Sus scrofa: one gene and its partners. The protein of the gene in region 3 interacts with the protein of the main gene of each other region in a biochemical or structural test. Links are inferred from orthologs where the notes say so. Each region holds a gene or a part of one and is shown on either strand. Other genes may lie near its edges. The genes, in order: SNCA, USP21 and YOD1.

Region 1 (6,954 bases), on a different chromosome or scaffold from region 3:
CCTTATTGCTCATCCTGTGGCTACTGTTGCTACAGCTGCTACCAGAAAATATGGAAAAGCTCAGAGGAGAAAGAAGAGAGGCAGAATTGGCAGTGGGTGAGTGTACGCCTCATGTGTATGTGTGTGTATCTCTATGGATGAGTGTGTCTATATGTGTGTGCCCCTTCCTTCCTCAGAGAATGTGAAGCGGTTTATAAAGTTCCAGCCTAACACAGTTCAAAGTAAAGAGAGTCAGGGAGGGTCTGCAAGAATATTCCAAGATGAGAATTTATAAACAGGTCGAAATGATAACCATCAATTTCACAATTTATTGTGTGTCTCATTAGATAAAGGAACTATATCAACAGCTCAGAGATGGCAGCCCTCAAGTACTTTCTGGAGTCCCCAGCTTAGCAGGTCATCACCAGAAGTATCTCCATCAAAGACTTTTTCTGCCTTTCCTTTTTAGGGCTACAGTAGGTCTCTCTTTATGTATCTCAAGGTCATATCAAAGTCTTATTTTTAAATTAGAATGCACTCAAATTAGCAAATATTATCATGATAGAAGAAATCAAAAGCTTATGGCTTTGTTAAAACAAATAATAAAAAAGAATAAGAATATTTTAAAGACTGAGTTTTAAAAACTGTCCTTAGAACTATGGTTACTTACACATAGAAAGATTCATTAAAAAAAAAGAAACAAAGTACAAAGTGTTATTGCAAAGCTAAATAATCTGGAAAAACAAAACAGCCCCACTTTTTTACTATCAGCTCAAACTTAAACATTCACCTACCTACACAAACCTCTGACTCAGACCATCATTTTGACAAGTGAAGCTGCAAAACTGAGAAATACCAGCATTTAAGGCATCAATCACCCTAACCCACCAGTCATAAATAAATTTCAAATTGACATCTAGGGCTTACCTACCTACATAGAGCACACCCTCTTTTGTCTTTCCCGCTGCTTCTGCCACACCCTGTTTGGTTTTTTCAGCAGCAGCCACGACTCCCTCCTTGGCTTTTGAAAGTCCTTTCATGAATACATCCATGGCTAATGAATTCCTTTACACCACACTGGAGAACACAAAATACACTTTGAGAACTTTGGGGTAAAACAAAACGAAATTAGAACCACCCAAGGTAAAAATCACTGAAAGATCAGTAGACTCCCCCGCCCCCCCCCAAAAAAAATGCAGGACTCTTGTAGGTGTACCTCTGTTTCAACCACTGGACAAAGCAGCCTTTTTTTAGCTTTTGCATTAAAAATTTAGCATCTCCCATCCATCTTGTTTGGTGGAAGTCTAGCCTCCTAAACATGGATTGGGATGAATCATCTGAGTTGTTCTCACCGCATTCCAAGTGGAGTTACATGAAAGGACTTACCCCCTCCCCCCTTTCAATTTCCCAGGGTCCAAACGATGAAGGTGTTAAGTTAGAAGTGCGTTTAGAAGACAGATCACAGGAAACGGAAAAAGGAGCTGGAGGAGGGGGGGTCAGAGATACTCAAAATAAATCCCCCAAACAGCTAACAGGTTGATCAGGAAGAGGGGTGGGAAGAGAACCACTCACTCTGGGTGTGGCTGAACCCCAGGCCAACTGCAAGCCCACCTGCAGTGGCTCTCACCCACTGGACGCTGTACCCCACCTTCAGCTGTCTACCCTGAGCAGGCAAGCAGGAGCGTTCACACCTGCAGGCAGTCTCCGGATGCGCGCCAGCTGCCAGAGGTGGAGTTAGCCCGCTGAACCCGCCACCCACCCGGCGCCCAGCACCTGTTAACCCCTTCCCACCTGTTGACTTGCTCTCTCTGCGCTTCCATTTAAAGGCTTGCCCAATACAGCTTGCTTACTTTACAGAGAGAACAGAGAGGGTGGGCTGGGGGATTTAAGGAAAGTAAGAAATAAAAGTTGAATAGTTATAATCCTTCGAGCATCCTCGACTTTCCCAAAGGAAAAGCGTATCCCGGAGAATCCAGACCGCTCAGCCTTTGAGGACGAGAAGAGAGGTAAGCCGAGTCAATTTACTTTCCTCAAGCTCACCAAAGGGGTCAGTGCCCACCTCTAAGAGAGACTCGACTATGGCAGGTCCTCACCGCAGCACTAACCCCCCCCCCCCCCCAGGCGCCGCAATGACTCTTCTCCCACCAGGTTTTCTCCAAGATTTCCCAAGCTGCCCACTTAGATTCACAGGTACTTACCTGATTCCCTTGGCTCCTGAGAACTCCGATCCTCCCCGCACCCACTTAAAAAATTTTAAAAACAATTCCTAAATATTATTTAAATGGGAGGGAGGAGGATAGGAGCGCACAGGAAGGGTGGAGGCGGCACCAGGAGAGGGATGGCCCTCAGCGGAGGCGGCTGTCGGCACAACCCTGGGGGGAGAGGCTGGGGGCGTGGGAGGGAACCCGCGAACCTGTCGTCGAATCGCCACTCCCCGTCCCCCGCACGAGAGGATTCCAGGCAGAAGAAGGGAGGAAGGGAAGGCGGCGAAAGAGCGCCAAGGCTGCCAAAGGCAAGGCGCGGTCCCCGGGTCTGCTCCAAAGCCAGCACACACCTCACCCCCACGTCGCTGCGCTCTGTCTCTCGCCCCCTCTCCTGGGTCCCCTTCTAGTGGTCTCGGTCCTTCTCCTCGTCTTCCTCCTCCTTCTCCTCCGCTCCCCGCCCCCGCAGCGGATTTGTCAGCGCCGCTCCCCGCCCCGCTCCCTGCGCGCGTTGCTTTCCCCGCCGCGTGCACTTCACTCCTCTTCTCGGATGGGGGTGGTGGGAGGCTGTACCTCCAACGCCAGCCGCCCGCCTGGGCTTGGGAGACTGGAAGGTGGGGTGTTGGGCGGTTCACCTCAAGTTCAGGGGCGCCCGGGCTCTGGCGGCGATCCGGAGCTCTGAGGCTTGGGCTGATGTCTGATGTCTGTTTCTCTCTCCCCATCCCCCCTCCTTCCCAGTCTCCGCCTTTCCCCCCGGTTTTTCCTGCGGACCCCCACGTCATGAGCCAGCCCGGGGAAGTGGGGTCTGAGGGCTCTACCACCAAAATAGCGCCAGTCTTTCGGGGAGCTGCTAAAGGAGACAGGTAGCTTCGGAAGGTACCCGCATCAGGACCAAGCGCAGGTTTCCCTCGCATCACTGAAATTGGATGAAGGGTCCTTAGGACACAATGTTAACGAAGCTTTTGTTTAACTATTCTCCGGATTTAACGTTTGTTCTTAACCTCTCCTGAGCCCGAAGTGGTCCGGCAGGTGGAGAGGCGACTAGTAAGGATGAGTTACAGGTTGAGGAGGCAGGAGGAGGCTCGTCAAATCCTCTTCCCACCCCACTATCACCATTTTCTTTCCACCAATCAGCGGCTGCCAGACGCTGATTTTTCCCATCAGTGGATCAAGGAATAAATATTCCCCAGCCGTCGAAACCCAGCGGCTGTAAGGCGTTTTGTTCTCAGAATGGGATTTACTTTCCAGATTCCTGTTCCTGGATGGAAGAGATAAATCCAGAGTGACTGAGTCTCCTGAACCGTCATATCCAATTTCATGGGCCCCTTCTGAAAAGAGAGATTCCACATACCACTCACCTTTCCGACTACTGATTCACGTTGTCCTCGGGGCTGACAGGCTACCCCATCCCACACACAGACACACAGACATACACATGCACGAGCTTCAAGACAATTTTTGCATTGCTTGACACAGTTTCACCTTTCAGAGCTGGAGGGAAAACAGCTGTTCCTGGATCACACCGGAATGGAGAACCAAGCTCCTCCCCCTAACAGACTGCCTCTGCTTGCTTTGCCTGGAATAGGAGGATGCTTTTAGAACTGGAAGGGGAAAAAACAGGTCTTTGCAGATTTTTTTTTTTTTTTTTGCTTGTCTTGTGTTTATTTGTGTGTGTGTGGGGGGGAATTTCTCTGATCCTTGGACTCACATTCTGGAATGTGAGTAAAAAGTAATTTAAATCTACAAAAACAACAGTTTGAAACCCAAAGAGATGGGAAGCAAGTATATATATTGCTTAACCTACTCCTTGCACTGATGGTCGGCCCTTTTAAAAAGTAGGCTTTCTAAAAACGCTCCTATTTTGTTTCCTGGGGAACTTGGAAGGAAACTTGGAAGTTGGTTTGCTTTTTGGCTTTGAGAGCCAATACAAGTTATGTTCAGTTTTCTCTTGTAAAGGGAGAGGAACCAAGATGATCCCTCTCTTTTCAACTTTTTATTATGGGAAATGTTCAAACATACAAGAATGGAGAGAATAGGAATTCCTGTTGTGGCTCAGCAGTGACAAACCCAACTAGTATCCGTGGGGATGCGGGTTCCATCCCCAGCCTCACTTAATGGGTTCAGGATCCTGCATTGCCATGAGCTGCAGTGTGGGTCAGGGATAGGGCTGGGATCTGGTGTTGCTGTGGCTGTAGTAGTAGTATAGGCCAGTAGCTACAGGTCCAGCCACCCCTGGCCTGGGAACTTCCATATACTGCGGGTGCACCCCTAAAAAGCAAAACAAAAACAAAAATAGAATAAAGGACTCTCCATGGAATATCACCCAGCTTCCACTGTTTTCTTTCTTCTTTTTTTTTTTTTTTGTTGTTGTTGTTGTTGTTATTGTTGTTGTTGCTATTTCTTGGGCCGCTCCCGTGGCATATGGAGGTTCCCAGGCTAGGGGTTGAATCGGAGCTGTAGCCACCGGCCTACGCCAGAGCCACAGCAACGCGGGATCCGAGCCGCGTCTGCAACCTACACCACAGCTCACGGCAACGCAGGATCGTTAACCCACTGAGCAAGGGCAGGGACCGAACCTGCAACCTCATGGTTCCTAGTCGGATTCGTTAACCACTGCGCCACGACGGGAACTCCTTCCATTGTTTTCTAATGCAGTCAACCACGTGCATCTGCATTCTTGTCTATTCCCTATATTTATCACTACTCCTTCCCCCAATTTTTACTAAATCCCAAGAATTATATATGTCTTTTCATCTGTAAATATTTAACCCTGCATCCATAAAATATAAATCTTTTAAAATAAACAATACTATTTCAATGGTCTTTTCTCAATTTTAAGTAAGATTTATAAACAGCGATAGGCTCAGCTCTTGAGTGTTCCCTTAAAACAGTTTTGAAAAATACATGCTGGGAAAAGCATCTGAAAGGGAATGGAATGTGTGTACACGTAGAACTGAATCACTGTGCTGTACAGCAGAAAGTATCACCACTTTGTAAATCAACTCTACTTCAACAAAACTTCAGTAAAAACTCCAATAAAAAGAGAGAGGGGAAAAGACATACATTAGTGGAACCCACACCGTTAAAAATAAATACATGAAACATTTCATCACCCCAGAAAGTTTCCTTGTGCCCTTTTAAGTTGTATATATTCTAGAATTTCTTAAAAATAAAATTATACAGTATGAACTTTTTTTTTTTTTTGGTATCTGGCTTCTTTTACTTATATTTACTTAGCCTAATATTCATCTGTGTTGTTGCATGAACTGGTAGTGTTTCTTTTTCTTTCTCTCTCTCTCTCTCTTTTTTTTTTTCCAGGCCCACACCCATGACATATGTAAGTTCCCAGGCTAGGGGTCCAATCAGAGCTGTAGTTGTCAGCTTGTACCATAGCCACAGCAACGTGAGATCCAAACTGCGTTTGCAACCTACACTTCAGCTCACAGCAATGCTGGATCCTTAACCCACTGAGCAAGGCCAGGGATCAAACCTGAGCCCTCATGGATCCTAGCTAGGTTTGCTACCACTGAGCTGCAACAGGAACTCCAGTAGTGTTGGTGTTTTTATTGCTTTCAATTATTTCCCTTTATTACTGCCAATAACAAATGTTTTCCTGAGTGACACATCACAACTAGTTATTTAATATAAATATTAAATATTCAATTATATGACATATTTATAGCTTAACAGGGGCCTCCTTAAGAAGTCAAAAGGGTGAATAAAGTGAGACATACCTTATACCCTACACGGACCAATGAGAGAATTACTTTGAAGCAGGTGTTGAGCATTTTTGTGCTTCTTGTAGCATAGCATGATTCCACACCCTTCTGTGGTACTTTATGCTTGGCAAAGAACTAATTACTGTATCATTTAATCATAGTAAGTGGGAAAGTTAAGTTTTATTATGTACCTTTTGCAGACAGGGAATCCAAAGCCCCAAAAATTTTGGTAAAAGGCAGAAAATGTGGCAGAGCTGAGATAATCCAGCAGGAACTATTCCAGAAGGCACACTGTCTCCTGAATTGGCCAAACCCTCTGGAACCTTACAGATTGGGCATGGGATAGAGTGGGAGGAAAAAAGGTGAGTCCCGGTTCTGTGACAAATAACCTTTGAATTTGGACGTGGGAAGGGAAATAAAGGGGCATTTGGGTCCTAAAACGCTGCATTCATATTTGAAATTTTGCCATTTCTGTACTGCTAATCATCTGCAGGGAAAGATGATTTCTCATCCCTCACACAAAAAAGAAAATGATAAAATACTTTGCTGTCATTCAGAATTATAAGTCTATGTTCTATTCCTCTTTTCATTCCTTAAAGTGCCTTGAATGCAGCAAGCAGGCCATAAACCTTCAATAACTGGGAATATCGATAGTGGCATTGCTTCTGTTCTACGTGTAGTCTTTTAGTTCAGTATTCCTAAGGAGGCAGAATTACTCAAGGAAAAAGAAGGGGACCGAAGTTAAAGTTTTGTTTTTGTTTTCTTTATTTTCTATCGTTAGTCAACAGCATCGGCTTGAGTAAATTTTTAATGGAATACAACTTGAAATTGAAACTAAAAAAAATAAAAAAAAAAAAAACAAAAACTCATGAATCACCTACACCTCATAAGAAATATGGAAGAATAACCTATGGGGAGGCATTACTGCTGTGCATATTTTGTTAATGACTACATTTATATTGGTGTTCTCTTTCATAAATGAAATCCAAGTATTTTGCTAGTTTTTAATAGGATTATTTTATCTGAGTTTAATACAGTAATTTAGCTAATGATTA
Region 2 (6,379 bases), on a different chromosome or scaffold from region 3:
TCGTTCATTTACTCAGTGCATGTTAAGTATTTACTTTATGCCAAACACTATGCTAGGTATTGGGGATACAATGATTGATATGGTGGACATGGTTCCTGACCTCCATGTATGTAGAAGCTGGTATAGTAGGCTAGGTTCCCTCCTTCCTCCCTTTTCAAATGCTGACCCTCTCTTCTCCTCCCAGGTCCAGCCTGTGGTGTCCACAATGCCCCAGGCTTCTGAGCACCGCCTGGGACGGACCCGAGAGCCACCTCTTAATGTCCAGCCCCGAGTGGGATCCAAGCTACCATTTGCTCCCAGGGCCCGAAGCAAGGAGCGCCGAAACCCAGCCCCTGGGCCGAATCCCATGTTAAGACCTCTGCCTCCCAGGCCAGGTCCCCCTGAGGAACGTCTCAAGAAACTGGAGCTGGGACGGGGACGAACCTCAGGCCCTCGTCCCAGAGGCCCACTTCGGGCAGATCATGGAGTTCCCTTGCCTGGCTCACCACCCCCAACTGTGGCTCTGCCTCTCCCATCCAGGACCAACCTAGCCCGTTCCAAGTCTGTGAGCAGTGGGGACTTGCGTCCAATGGGGATTGCCTTGGGAGGGCACCGTGGCACCGGAGAGCTAGGGGCTGCACTGAGCCGCCTGGCTCTCCGGCCTGAGCCACCCACTTTGAGACGCAGCACCTCTCTCCGCCGCCTTGGGGGCTTTCCTGGGCCACCCACCTTGCTCAGCATACGGACAGAGCCCCCTACTTCCCATGGCTCCTTCCACGTGATATCTGCCCGGCCCTCTGAGCCATTCTACTCCGATGACAAGATGGTGAGGACTTGCCAGCACACATGGCCTTCCATGCTCATGTTCCTTCATGCTTCCAGCTTTCTTGCCATCATGTGGCTTTTCTTTCCCCCTTTTTCCCCAGGTTCATTTTTTTAACCCTTTGTTACAGCAGTTTGGACTCTCTCTCCCTTACTTAAGTGCCCTTGAGCCTCATAGACCCTTTTCAGGGTTGTCTGTGACTCTCCAGCAGGGTGTGCCATTTCATTCCCCAAGGAATTAACTCAACCATTTGGAATTCTTTGGGTCCCCAGGCCCTTACTTCCCCTTTCTGTACCTTCTCTCCTAGGATGCTACCTAAGTCTAATTAATCTCTGGAGCTGAAGAGGGGCGGGTTCAGAACATCTGAGCTAATGTGGTTGCCCATTTCCCGAGCTGAGTGAGCTAGGCTGAGTGCAGTTGGAGCCTTCAGGAGAGGGTGCAGGAAGGGGCCACGGGTGCAGGAGGGGGCCTTGGGGGTAGCAAGGTGGGGGTGGGGAGCAGCTGGGCAACCATGCCAGTGCTTGGGGAGTTGCCCCAGGAGCTGCATCGCCGGCTAGCTGGGCAGAGGAGTAAGTGGGCAACAGGTGGGACAGCCATGGCTGAGTCCGTGGTACACTCAGCTGTGATGGGCTTACTACTCATGGCCAGTGAGGTAGGGAGACCCCAATACCCAGTGAGGGAAAGAGTGTAGCGTTTGGGGGTGAAGGATGGGGTGGGGGAGGCAGTGGACAGCATGCTGTCAAAAGGATTAAAGTGCCAGGTGGGATGTATGGGAACCTGCTGACTGATCTCTGACCTTCCAGGCTCATCACACGTTGCTTCTGGGCTCTGGTCACGTTGGCCTCCGAAATCTGGGGAACACGGTGAGAGCCATTCTCCTGTCCTTCCTAATGGGAATGTGAACTGGTACTGGGGACAGGCATGGGGAAGGAGGGCACTGAAGTTCTCCCAGGGCTTCCTAGGCACTGGTTTGGAGAGATAATGGCAATGTCTCTGCTGCTCCCCAGTGCTTCCTGAATGCTGTGCTACAGTGTTTGAGCAGCACTCGGCCTCTTCGGGACTTCTGTCTGCGAAGGGACTTCCGGCAAGAGGTTCCTGGAGGGGGCCGAGCCCAAGAGCTTACTGAAGGTGGGGCAACAACTCCTGCTTCCTCCTTTCAAATCCTCTTTTTCCCAACCCATTGTAGGTCCATCTGCCAGTGTTGGTGGCCCCAACCCTGAAAGCCAGCAGTTTTGTCTTTTTCACAGTGCCTGCTTTCCTAGAGTTGTTTTCCACCCTCTTGCTTCCCTCTTCCAGTCGTTAACCTTTGTTTCCCTTCCCCACTCCCACCCTAATAGCCTTTGCAGATGTGATTGGTGCCCTGTGGCACCCTGACTCCTGTGAAGCTGTGAATCCTACTCGATTCCGAGCTGTCTTCCAGAAATACGTTCCCTCCTTCTCTGGATACAGGTGGGAGAACTGGAGGGTATGGGATTTCTCTCTGCCCATGTCTGGGGATAGGGCCAAGCAGGGGCCCTGGCAGCATCATTCTGAGCCTTGAGCTCTATCTAGGAAGTGGGGTCAGATGTCTGGGCACGGGTTAGTGACTGTGGACTAGGCAGGGGTCAGTTGCCCACGCTCTTTGTCTGGCTGCAGCCAGCAGGATGCCCAAGAGTTTCTGAAGCTCCTCATGGAGCGGCTACACCTAGAAATCAACCGACGAGGCCGCCGGGCTCCACCAATCCTGGCCAGTAGTCCAGCTCCCTCCCCACCCCGCCGAGGAGGGGCGCTGCTGGAAGAACCTGAGTTAAGGTAAGGTCGCGCCCCCTTTCTCTTGCCCATAGTTTATTAACAGCGTTCATCCTTCGCAGAAGTGAGCTAGTCAGGATTGAGGATGTAGAGTCCAAGGAAATGCTTATCGTAGAATTTGGTTTGAGAAGCAGTGCAGAAGTAGGAAGAAGGCAGGAGGAGGAGGGAGACTGAGGGGCACAGATGGAGGCAGAAGATAGTGCTGTGGCTGTCACCAGATTGACGGAGGAGGGGATAATTAATTTACAAGGTACATAGGGGTTTGAAGCCAGGTGGAGGAAGACGGCATGTTCTTCCCTTGTCTGTGTTCCTTTCTTTTCCTCTCACGTGGATTTCCCCGAAAAGTTCTCTGAAACGTTACTCGTTTGACTCTTCCTTGCAATTTTGAGAAGGAGCTGGGGTATGGGTGGGGTACAGGGCTCCGTGGATCATTTCAGTGGTGTTGGGGGTGCCCAGTGTTCCTGCTGTCTCATGGGTGCTCCCCACTTCCCTTGATCTGTGGTAGTGATGATGACCGAGCCAACCTAATGTGGAAGCGTTACCTGGAGCGAGAGGACAGCAAGATTGTGGGTATGGAACAAGACAAAGTGATGGGGGAAAATTCATGTGTGGGGGTGAAGACTTGGCAGGAAAAAATCAAGACTGTCGAGGGGTCTGGGAATAAGATGATGAAAATGTGGAAAAGTTAAGAGGGGAGAGTTAAGAGGGGAGAGTTGGCGATGGGAAAGAAGGGTCAGGCAAAGGGCTGGGAAGCGACAGGAATGCCAGAAAGCATCTCGGGCATCCCACAGTGACTTTTTCTCCTGCCCCTTTGCTTCTATCTAGACCTGTTTGTGGGCCAGTTGAAAAGTTGTCTCAAGTGCCAGGCCTGTGGGTATCGCTCCACGACCTTCGAGGTTTTTTGTGACCTGTCCCTGCCCATCCCCAAGGTGGGATTCCAGAGGATTCCGGGGGTGGATGGGACATGGGTTCTATGACCCAACCCTACCCACCCCCAGTGTGGGAGGGAACCATGTGGGTCTCTGGAGAAGAATCGAAGCTTGGGTTAATTGAGAAGAGTTGGAAAAGGAAATTCAGAACATGCTGACCCTTCACTCCCCTTTCCCCCCAGAAAGGATTTGCTGGGGGCAAGGTGTCTCTGCGGGATTGTTTCAGCCTTTTCACCAAGGAAGAAGAGCTAGAATCGGAGAATGCCCCAGTATGTGGAGGTTCACAAGGGATATAGTAAGGGTGGGATACCGGAGGTGGGGGAGGCTCCATGTGGGTAAAAGGGGTTGCATGATGCCTTAGTATGAGGAGTAACACTTATATGTAAAGATTTGTGTAGGAGTATTTTTCAGATATGTCCTGATCTGTCAGGGCAAAGGGCAGTGGCCCAGAGAACACAGAAGTAATAGGGAGCACAGTAAATTTATGTGAGTCAGGGTATTGGAAAAGACAACGGAGGTGAGGAGCACATTAACCTTATAACATTATTTGACATTTATTCAGGTGTGTGACCGATGTCGGCAGAAAACACGAAGTACTAAAAAGTTGACAGTACAAAGATTCCCCCGAATCCTCGTGCTCCGTATCCTAATCTTCAAATTCTTATTTCTCCCATTCATTCTTTTTCCTCATTCTCCAAGTTTGCAGAGGCTGGACATTTGGGGATTCGGTTTGCCTTAGGAAAAGGCTGCCACTCCATCTTTCCCTCCTGTGCTCCCAGTGTGTGTTCAGGGAGGGGAGTAGACAACATTCAGTTCCCCAGCCCCCTCAGAGGCCCTCTGCCTCCCAAATTCTCCTTAACCAGAACTTAGATCTTAATCGATTTTCTGCCTCCCGAGGCTCCATTAAGAAAAGTTCAGTAGGTGTAGACTTCCCACTGCAGCGACTGAGCCTAGGGGACTTTGCCAGTGACAAAGCCGGTGAGTCTGGGAAGGAGGGTCCTGAGGAGTTCCATGAAGGGGAGGGAGAGAATGGCGGAGCAGGGCACAGCTCTAACTATAGAATTTGGTCATCTCTAACCCTGAAGGAAGCCCCATATATCAGCTGTATGCCCTTTGCAACCACTCGGGCAGCGTCCACTATGGCCACTACACAGCCCTGTGCCGGTGCCAGACTGGTTGGCATGTCTACAATGACTCTCGGTGAGAACAGCCTTGCCCCATTCCTGCTGCAGCCTTGACACCTTTCCCCAGTATGAAGAAGCCCCAGGAGACAGTGCCTACTGAAAGGAGATGTGGGATTGGGGGTGTGGGGGCGGTGTCTTTCCTAGGCACCACCCGGATACTGTGATGTTGATCTTGTGGGGAGGAGGGTCTATACAGGAAAGATCACACCTCCTTCCCCATCTCCCTTCTTCCTAGTGTCTCCCCTGTCAGTGAAAACCAGGTGGCATCCAGTGAGGGCTACGTGCTGTTCTACCAACTGATGCAGGAGCCACCCCGGTGCCTGTGACCTCCCTTTTAATCCCTGGCACCTGTGAAATCCTTTCAACACCCTTAAGCCCCAGGCTCCCCATTTACCTCAGAGACGTCTATTTTTGTGTCTTTTTAATCGGGGAGGGGGGAGGGGGTGGTTGTACCTCCTATTATTTTTTTTATTAAAAAGTACCCTTCCACCTGGAGGCTCCCTTGTCTCCCAGCCCCATGTACAGAGCTCCCTAGGCCCTGCCCGTGTACAGTCCCCACACCCTCTGCAGTCTCACTTTTTTGTGAATAAATTTATTAAGAAAAAAAATGATGTTCTTTGTATTTGTGCCTAGCGAGTGGAGATATAGAACTGGGCCGAATGGGTAGTTTTCCTGGCACTCAGTTCCCTTTCTAAACGATGGGGGGCGCTCGGAGCCGTGAGGCTGAGGGTGGGGATGGGGATGCAGGATCGGGACGCGTTGATGCCCAAGTTTGCCAAAGCGGTGAAGGTTTACATTGGGAGGAAATGAAGGCTGCAGGGAGGCCTGGATCCAGAGTGCAGGCACTGGGTCGACGGGGTTTGCCGGCGTAGGGGCCTGCCCCGCGAGAGCAAAGCACCCAAGGACCCCTGTTGACAAACACGGTACGTTGCCGGGGCGCCCTAGCTCCCGTAGGCCCAGGCTGTTGCTAACATCAAGGAGCTGTTTATGGAGCCACCTCCCCGGGGACCAGCCTCCAGTGTCCCTGTCTACTCTCCCTACAACCAAGACTCATGAGGACCTTCCTCCAGGGTTCCAACCCTAGCTGGACCTGGCAAACTTGAGCTGGGGAATGTTAACCAGGATTCTGCTCTTGCCGCTCCAGCCCTGAGGGGAGGGCAGTACCGAATATGGCCGCTCTCTCCAACCTGGCACCGAACCGGTTAACCTCCAGCTCCCCGGCCTTCTACAAGGGTTGCCCCACCGCCTCTGAGGGAGGAGGAGTCGCTGCCGGTTCAGTGTTTTCATTGGTGAATGTGATCCGGGGCCTTCCAGAACCCACCAATCCGGGAGCAGGAAAGGTAAGGTTAGGATCGTGCCGCGAGAATAGTGTGGACGGAGAGTCGGAGAGACCGAAAATCTTGGGGGCGGAGGCCGCGGACTGAAAACACTAGGCCTAGCGAGGGGTGGGAGAGAAAACGCGCTTCTTAGCCCTGGCGGCCAGTCGGTGCCCCCAGCCCTGTGCTGGCAGATAGCGTGGGTGTGGCCCTTATCCACTTCCCCGCGGAGCCGGCTGGGTGATGTCTTGAGACCTCTACCTCCTCCTCCCCTCATTTTTCTTGTCCCTCTCGTGGGTGAGTCCGAGGCCCTGGGCGGGGACCTCACAGTTCCACCACCCCATCCCCGAGCCCTTAGTT
Region 3 (6,765 bases):
AGCATTAGTGGTGGGATAAGGTTAGCATGAAAACAAACACTGTTTAGGTAAGTCAAAGATCTCACAACAGCCAAACCAAAGCATGGCACTATTACTTAAGATAAAAATTTTTTTAAGGAGCCAGAGGAAGTGATCTTAACAAAAAGCTGAGAAAATTAAATCCCTCCAGGCAAACCTTTAGGTAAAAGAGCAAAAACCGAGCACTCAAACCTCAAGAAACCTCAATTTAAAAAAACATATCCTACTTAATTTTAAAGTTTTATCCCATGTGACAAAGATGAATAAATGAATAGCATTAAAACAATGAGGCCAATGGTCTTTTAAAGCTTCAGTAAGCTGCTCAGGCACCTTTTCCCTCATACATTCTACTTTTATACACTAGAAATCCTAAATTGGGCACTATCAGTTCCTATTTTTAAATAACATTCTCAAGGAGTAGACTGATCCCTGTAAAAATTGCTTGTTATGGACTTTGCATACAATGAAGTACACATTTATAAAGTCTACCAAATTGCAATATAAAATCAGTTTTGACAATTCTGAGCATCTTCATTAGAGGAATCTATTCATAATTTAGTAACGTTAACTCATTCCGAATTTTTAAAAGGACTCAATTACCGGAGACACTGTGGTTTATGTCCAGTGGCCTCCCTGAGGCCTTTTACATTACCCCAAATATGATGCTGTTTTCTTCTCCCAGTTAATGCCGCTGGGTGCTAATTTATAATACTAAAACTCAATCTTCAGGTTAGTGTCAGTAGGTAGCAAGGACCACCTATTCTGTCACCCCAGCAGAAAGAGGGCATGGATCACCACTGTAGACGCACATCTGTAAACTTGCACACTAATTTTAATCTTAACAAGGAATTCAGTGTCTTAGTGGTTTTAGGTTAAAATGATGGTTCAAGCATTGTGTCCTTTTACTCTTGAGGGTTACGAATAGCTTATTGGAAAACCCAGAGCCTTCTGGATCTGTGAGGTAGTAGGCTTCAATCCTCATCATGCATGGATCACACTTCTCCAAAGTTGGTATGGCCTGTCTCCTTGGCATGGTCCCTTGCTTCTGCTTGTCCAGTTAATCCCTTCTGACATACCATGCATCTCAGGGTGAAGCGGTTGACATCAGTAAATTGTCTCTTGCTTCTAGCTTCATCTGCTAATTCCAGTGCTTGTACAAGAACAATATCATCATTAGAGGAGAAAATGGTCAGAGGAGGGGTGTCTGGGTCAGGGAAGACACGCTGAAGTGGATCATAGTGGATGCCATCATATATAAGCAGGACCCGTTTGGTGTATCCTGCATCTTCCCCAAAACGATCAATTCTTACGGTCTGTGTATCCACTACACATATTTCGCATTGATAAAATTTAGACAAAATGGATATCTCAATAGCTCCACCCCAAGTATCATCCCTTTTGATCCAGTCACAGTACTCTTGATTTGTTTTTCCCAGTATTGCCTCACTATAGAAGTCTGGATCACTTGCTACGATTTGTGCTATGAGGCGTCTCATCTCCGGGGCACAAGCTGGATTCAAGACTCCTCCTTCAACAACATAGTACACACTGGTAAAGAGGCAAGAGTTGTCTGCTGGGACCGTTGTTCTGGTAAGCACAGGCAAAGGTTCCCTGACGTAACTAGGAGCACCATGTTTTGTAAATGCAGGTGATGTTTTGGGTCTGGTTTGGTCTTCTTCAACGATCAGCATGTCGCCTGTCAAAAATAAAACAAATCCAGAACTGCAGAGACATCATAGATGAAATGGGTATTCTCTAACCAAGTCTGTAAACTACAAACACGAGTTAAAAAGTGTAAGTTGGGGTTAGCAGGGAGAATACAGTTTTGCAAACATGTTTCGTCTTGTTTACTGAAATCTCCATAAAGATGAAAACAGAACAAAGAGAAAAACGTTTTAGGTTGCACTTAATTTAGTAAAGGGGCCTGAGGTATCCACCTTTATAATTTACTTGAAAAGACCCATTTCAAGAACAAAATTTTCTTAAGCTTGCTCCCTGCAGTTTACAAGCATAGATCGTCAAAAGATTTTTATTACAGAATAGGCCACTAGGGGGTTCTCTCCTTCTGAAACTTAATTATCTACTCTAGTGTTTACAGGGAGGGATCCTTGATATAACAGGGGAAAGGCTTTTAATTATCAATATTGCTGTTCAAGCTTTCATATTGGATAGAAATAACTTCTGTTGTCTAGAACTTAAAAAGGACTTTAGTAGATGTGTCAAAGCAAACTCTAAAATGAGTACACCTATCAAAGGAAGTATATATGAAGGTGACTGCAAAAATGAACCAGGAAAGCAAAAAAGTATCCTACATCCTTCAGACCTGCTGACACCTTTCAGTGATCTAAACGAAAACAGCCATCAGGACAGAAAATTTAAGTTCCACCTTTAAAAATACTTTTGTGGACGCAGAGGTTAAACAAAATGAATGAGATCTTTTCCAGACATACTAGAAAGCAGTGGGAAGGGGACTCCAAGCTTTGGGCTTGTCAGAGATCGGGCCCTCCCTGTCTCTTTCAACTGTACCTAACGTCAAGGAATTGCTAGACACTTGTCCCGACCTCCGTCAGAGTTCTGTTTTTTAACCTGTCCTCGTCCTCAAAGCCCCCAGCTGACCCATAGCCACCTCAACTGTTTCCACATGCCCTCTTGGTCTTCCCAGGACTCTGCCCGGTCCCAGCCTCGATCCCCCTTACCTGACTGGATGGGCAAGTCCCCCAGAATGGTATCCCCTTCGCTGAGATCCAGGCACTCGGGTGGGTATCCGACAAGGATGCGCTGACAATCGGGGGCAATCCCGGTGATGGCGGCAATTTGGCCCTGGAGTTCCCGCACCCGGGTACGGCTGGACAATCCCTGCAAAACATGTGTGCCATCCTTGGCCTTGCAGCGGAGCCGCCACATCGTGTCGCTCTGGCCGCCCATAGGCCAGACACCCGTGGACCCAGCTTTGGTCCCCGCAGCACGTTGGGAGACGCCGCCGGGGAAACCAGCCTCCCGCGGGACTCCAAAATGGCCACCCTTTGCCGGACCAAACATCGCGAGAAGTCGCTGGCTATAGTTCTCGCGACACTCCGCAGCTTCAGTCTTAGCCTATTCTTAAAGTGACAACTAGTTCCCACCCACCCCTACTTTAGGTGGCAAAGGGTGATGATTTAGCCGTATTCCTAAAGTGCGGCTAGTCTTGCTGCCTGTAGAACGAGTGAGGCACCTTCTGCGTTGGCAGAATATATGCTCAAGGGAAGAGGGCGGAGAACGGAGTTCCTGAATCTAATACATTGGAATGTAACCTTGCACTTAGGTCGGAAATTATTAAATTGGGGCTTCCAAACCACGCCGGATCATAGTTCGGAAGGCAAACGAATGCCAAGAATGGTCAGTGAGTCAAAAAGACCTGTCAAAGACAAACATATACTCGTGATTAGACGCATGGCTGCAGCAAACACTGACTCATTGAGGTTAAGGGACCCGGGGGACTGGCCTTTCCACCTTCATGAGCCTGCAACTTAAAAACGTCCATTTGCCACATCAGAAAGCGCAGTATGAGGTCAGCATCTGGGCCGAGGGCTATTCGGGAGGTGCTGGCAGTGTAAGAAGGAGGAATGAAGAGGGCTACCGTGTGTCATCCAGATTCCAGTTCGCCCTAGTTATACAAATACCAAGACGACTCCATTCCTGACTTCATTATGGCGAAGTACTCACGTAATCAGGAGAGCCGGTGAGGTGTAAAGGACACGCAACCCCTGTATTTCACAGCAACGTGATAATGCTAGGTTGTGTGACTTTTTCCAACCCCGTATCCCTAAACACAGGACTGTGCCTTCCAAGTAAGTGCTCTGTAAACACTTGCTGAATAGTTAGAACCAAGTTGTATAAGCACAGAGAAGGCAACTGTAACATACTGGGAGTTGTAAAAAGTTTCAACGAGTAGGTAATGATTTGAGCTGTTCAGAAGGATGAATTTAACCCCCAGGTGACAGAGGAATAAAAATACCTCTGAATTTCTCTCTCTTCCAAGAAATCCATACTCATTGTTCTTTTTCCATCCTGAATCCGAAGCAGCAAGGCCTACCCCGCGTAGAGACAGTTTATCAACAGAATCAAGCATCAAGGGGGCCTGGGGGCAACTGTGAAAAGTTCACTCGGAATGTGCAAACTCACCTCCACTGTAAAAGCCTCTAGATCTGAATAAGTTATATGGAGACTTTGCATCTTTTCAGATCTTTCATGACCCAATTTTCTCCTTGAGCAGTTTTTCTCTTTGGTTCTTCAAGATGACCATAACAGATGGTACAGTGTGAGTGGTAAGAGGGAGAATAAATAAGATGGTAAATCCACTGAAGTATGTGCATGGATCCAGGGAAGCTCCTGGTTCAGCGGTGAGAGTTGTTGATTTCCTTAGTTTACAGTGTCCGCGACCTGAGGCAAGAATATGCAAACACCTTAAGATGTATTGTGGTAGTTTACTCTAGCAAACACCTTCCAAGCTTACGTCCCAATTTACAGATCTAACAGATCCCGCTGGGATTCAGGAAAAAGCGTTAATCTCCGCAATGATTTTTCCGGTCACCCTCTCAAGACTTCTACTAGTTCATTCTCGCGAGAGGACGAAAAAACCCACAAAACTTACTTTTTATTAATCCCGCCCCCAGCCCTGTTAGTTGCCAAGCAACGATGCAACCAACCTCCACGGTGCTGGGAAACTTGCGAGCTTGTGATTTTTCCCCTTCACAGTTCTATCCTCCTTCTGGAGCTAGCGTCAGTGATTCTAATTTGAGCCCCGCCCCCTGAAGCCTGCTTGCTCTCTATTGGTGGACGATTCTCTCCAGGTGAGGACCAACGCGGGAGTGGGCGGAGCCAGGCGGGGGCACGTGATTTGCCGGCGACTGGTGTGCCGGACACCGGCCACAGTCTGTGGGTTCCCGTCTGCCGCGTTACCCGGTAGGTGCTGGGGCCACAGACGGGAGGAGTCTTAGGAGGGATCTTGGGGTGGCCGACAGCTGTACAGCGTCTTGAAGGGTCTAGGCGGACGAGAGGAGGGAGGGGCCGCATGCACCCTGAGATGTGGGAAGATGAAGCCTCGTCGTTTCGGGGAAGTACGGGCCCCCGGGCGTCGCCTGGAGTGCGGATGTTTAGGAACTCAAAGCTGCAGTTTATGTGAGTTACAGGATTTGTGTGGTTAGTGGAAGTACAGTGCAAGGTCCCTGAAGCAGTAGGACCTTCCTTCCTCACGAGTCCTTGTCCGGGTTTGTAGGGAGAACGCGTGGGGCTCTCCCACACTAGTTCGAATCAGGACTTACCCGTTATTCTGTAGGCGACCTTGGGGAAGTTATTTACCACCTCTTTGCTCCCCAGTGTTTCTTCCATGGACTGTTTCCCAGGGGATCGTTGGGGAGAGGGTGTGGACAAGGGCTTGAGAGTAGGAACACCAGAGGAGAAATGGTGACGGGTGAGGGCTGTCTCTGGGTCCAGTTACAGTTTTTCCTTCAGGGGATATGTTTGAGATTTTTCCCACTTCTCATTTTTTTCAGGACTGAATCCTCCCATTGGACTGCAGTTACTTTATGATAATGGACTTGATCTATTTGCAACTCACCCCACCCCCAACTGCTGCCACTACTCTCCCCAGATTCTTAAACTGGAATCTGAAGTCAGGAAGGAACTTGGATGAACCACTTAGTTTGATTAATCTCAGTTTTTCAATCTGTAAAATGAGGAGAAGTAATAATGGTAGCAAAATCTGTTTCATTACAGGATTGTTGGGAGGATTGAAGGAGATAATTTATTTGAGTGTAAACTCCAAAGTCAGCAATATAAATGCAAGCTTCTGCTGCACCTCTTCAGAGATGAGGAAACACAGGGCTAGGGGCATTCATGACTTATTAGGGCGTATAGCTCTTAACTGGGAAAAAGGCTGGACTTGACTCTTGGGCCAGGGTTCTTGCACTTATACCTCTCTGATCCTCTTCACTGAGTGTTTGGAAGGTTGTCTCCTTCCTTCTCTTCCTTATATCCCTTTTATCCCTTCCAGGGGTCCCCTGAAGAGCTGCCATGTCTGGGAATCCTGCATCTTCCTCAGAACAGAACAACAACAGCTATGAAACCAAAACAAATCTCCGAATGTCAGAGAAGAAATGCTGTGAGTGGTGGGAAAGAGGAAGGGCTGCCTTGTCCCAGGTTTTTGTCTTGGGAATATAGTTGTAATCCTAGACTTTGCTGCTCAATGGGAGTAAGAAATAAGTCTTTGACACGGGAATTTAAAACAAAGGCCATCAGGGGAATTTCCTGTCTGAAACAAGTAGACTCCGTGAAATGTCTGTCTTTGGTGCTAGGCTGCCCATGTGGCCGAGCATTTTCTTCCTGCTTTTGTTAACTGAATCTCTGTCTTCTGGGGGTATCTGTACACTCCACTGATGTTGAAAGAGCAAGCACTGTTGTATATGCAGTGAGTAAGACAGAGAGGCACCGGTACAGGGATTACTTGGGGCTGGTCCCGCTAACGGTTTCCCTTTATCGCTTAGGCTAAGTTTTGTGAGAGTGCTGCTCACTGCAGAAATTGCAGGTAGGAACCAGTCACTCATTTCTACAGACCTAAGGGGAATCAGCCTTGACATTTCACTTCTCGCCGTGTCTTGGGCACCTTACTTTCTCACAGGTTAACCTTTATACTTTGCAAACTATTTTCCCTGCAGGTTCATTCCTCTGGGGATGGGTTTCACAGGAGCATCTCCATGCCCATTTTTTTTA

What was found.
Region 1: the proteins of YOD1 (region 3) and SNCA form a complex in vitro, tested with the Homo sapiens proteins (2 studies listed by BioGRID, with this or other methods). The link is inferred for Sus scrofa from reciprocal best matches to the Homo sapiens genes YOD1 and SNCA.
Region 2: the proteins of YOD1 (region 3) and USP21 form a complex in vitro, tested with the Homo sapiens proteins (2 studies listed by BioGRID, with this or other methods). The link is inferred for Sus scrofa from reciprocal best matches to the Homo sapiens genes YOD1 and USP21.

What each region holds. Positions count from the first base shown.
Region 1 is NC_010450.4:129,244,510-129,251,463, reverse strand, and holds the start of SNCA (alpha-synuclein), read right to left. Parts: upstream 3,741-6,954; 5' UTR 3,663-3,740; exon of another isoform or gene 3,539-3,662; intron 2,906-3,538; exon of another isoform or gene 2,178-2,905; intron 2,061-2,177; exon of another isoform or gene 2,039-2,060; intron 1,690-2,038; exon of another isoform or gene 1,366-1,689; intron 1,289-1,365; exon of another isoform or gene 1,196-1,288; intron 1,057-1,195; 5' UTR 1,032-1,056; coding exon 911-1,031; intron 1-910. UniProt on the Homo sapiens protein: Neuronal protein that plays several roles in synaptic activity such as regulation of synaptic vesicle trafficking and subsequent neurotransmitter release.
Region 2 is NC_010446.5:89,287,988-89,294,366, reverse strand, and holds the end of USP21 (ubiquitin carboxyl-terminal hydrolase 21), read left to right. Parts: intron 1-184; 5' UTR 185-205; coding exon 206-805; intron 806-1,605; coding exon 1,606-1,665; intron 1,666-1,809; coding exon 1,810-1,930; intron 1,931-2,139; coding exon 2,140-2,251; intron 2,252-2,437; coding exon 2,438-2,593; intron 2,594-3,095; coding exon 3,096-3,160; intron 3,161-3,415; coding exon 3,416-3,519; intron 3,520-3,701; coding exon 3,702-3,788; intron 3,789-4,081; coding exon 4,082-4,160; intron 4,161-4,389; coding exon 4,390-4,497; intron 4,498-4,604; coding exon 4,605-4,719; intron 4,720-4,938; coding exon 4,939-5,029; 3' UTR 5,030-5,311; downstream 5,312-6,379. UniProt on the Homo sapiens protein: Deubiquitinates histone H2A, a specific tag for epigenetic transcriptional repression, thereby acting as a coactivator.
Region 3 is NC_010451.4:67,677,071-67,683,835, forward strand, and holds the start of YOD1 (ubiquitin thioesterase OTU1), read right to left. Parts: upstream 4,652-6,765; 5' UTR 4,231-4,651; coding exon of another isoform or gene 4,180-4,230; intron 4,173-4,179; exon of another isoform or gene 3,413-4,172; 5' UTR 3,058-3,412; coding exon 2,715-3,057; intron 1,715-2,714; coding exon 1,011-1,714; 3' UTR 1-1,010. Other genes in the region: PFKFB2 (6-phosphofructo-2-kinase/fructose-2,6-bisphosphatase 2), read left to right, coding at 6,070-6,157. UniProt on the Homo sapiens protein: Hydrolase that can remove conjugated ubiquitin from proteins and participates in endoplasmic reticulum-associated degradation (ERAD) for misfolded lumenal proteins.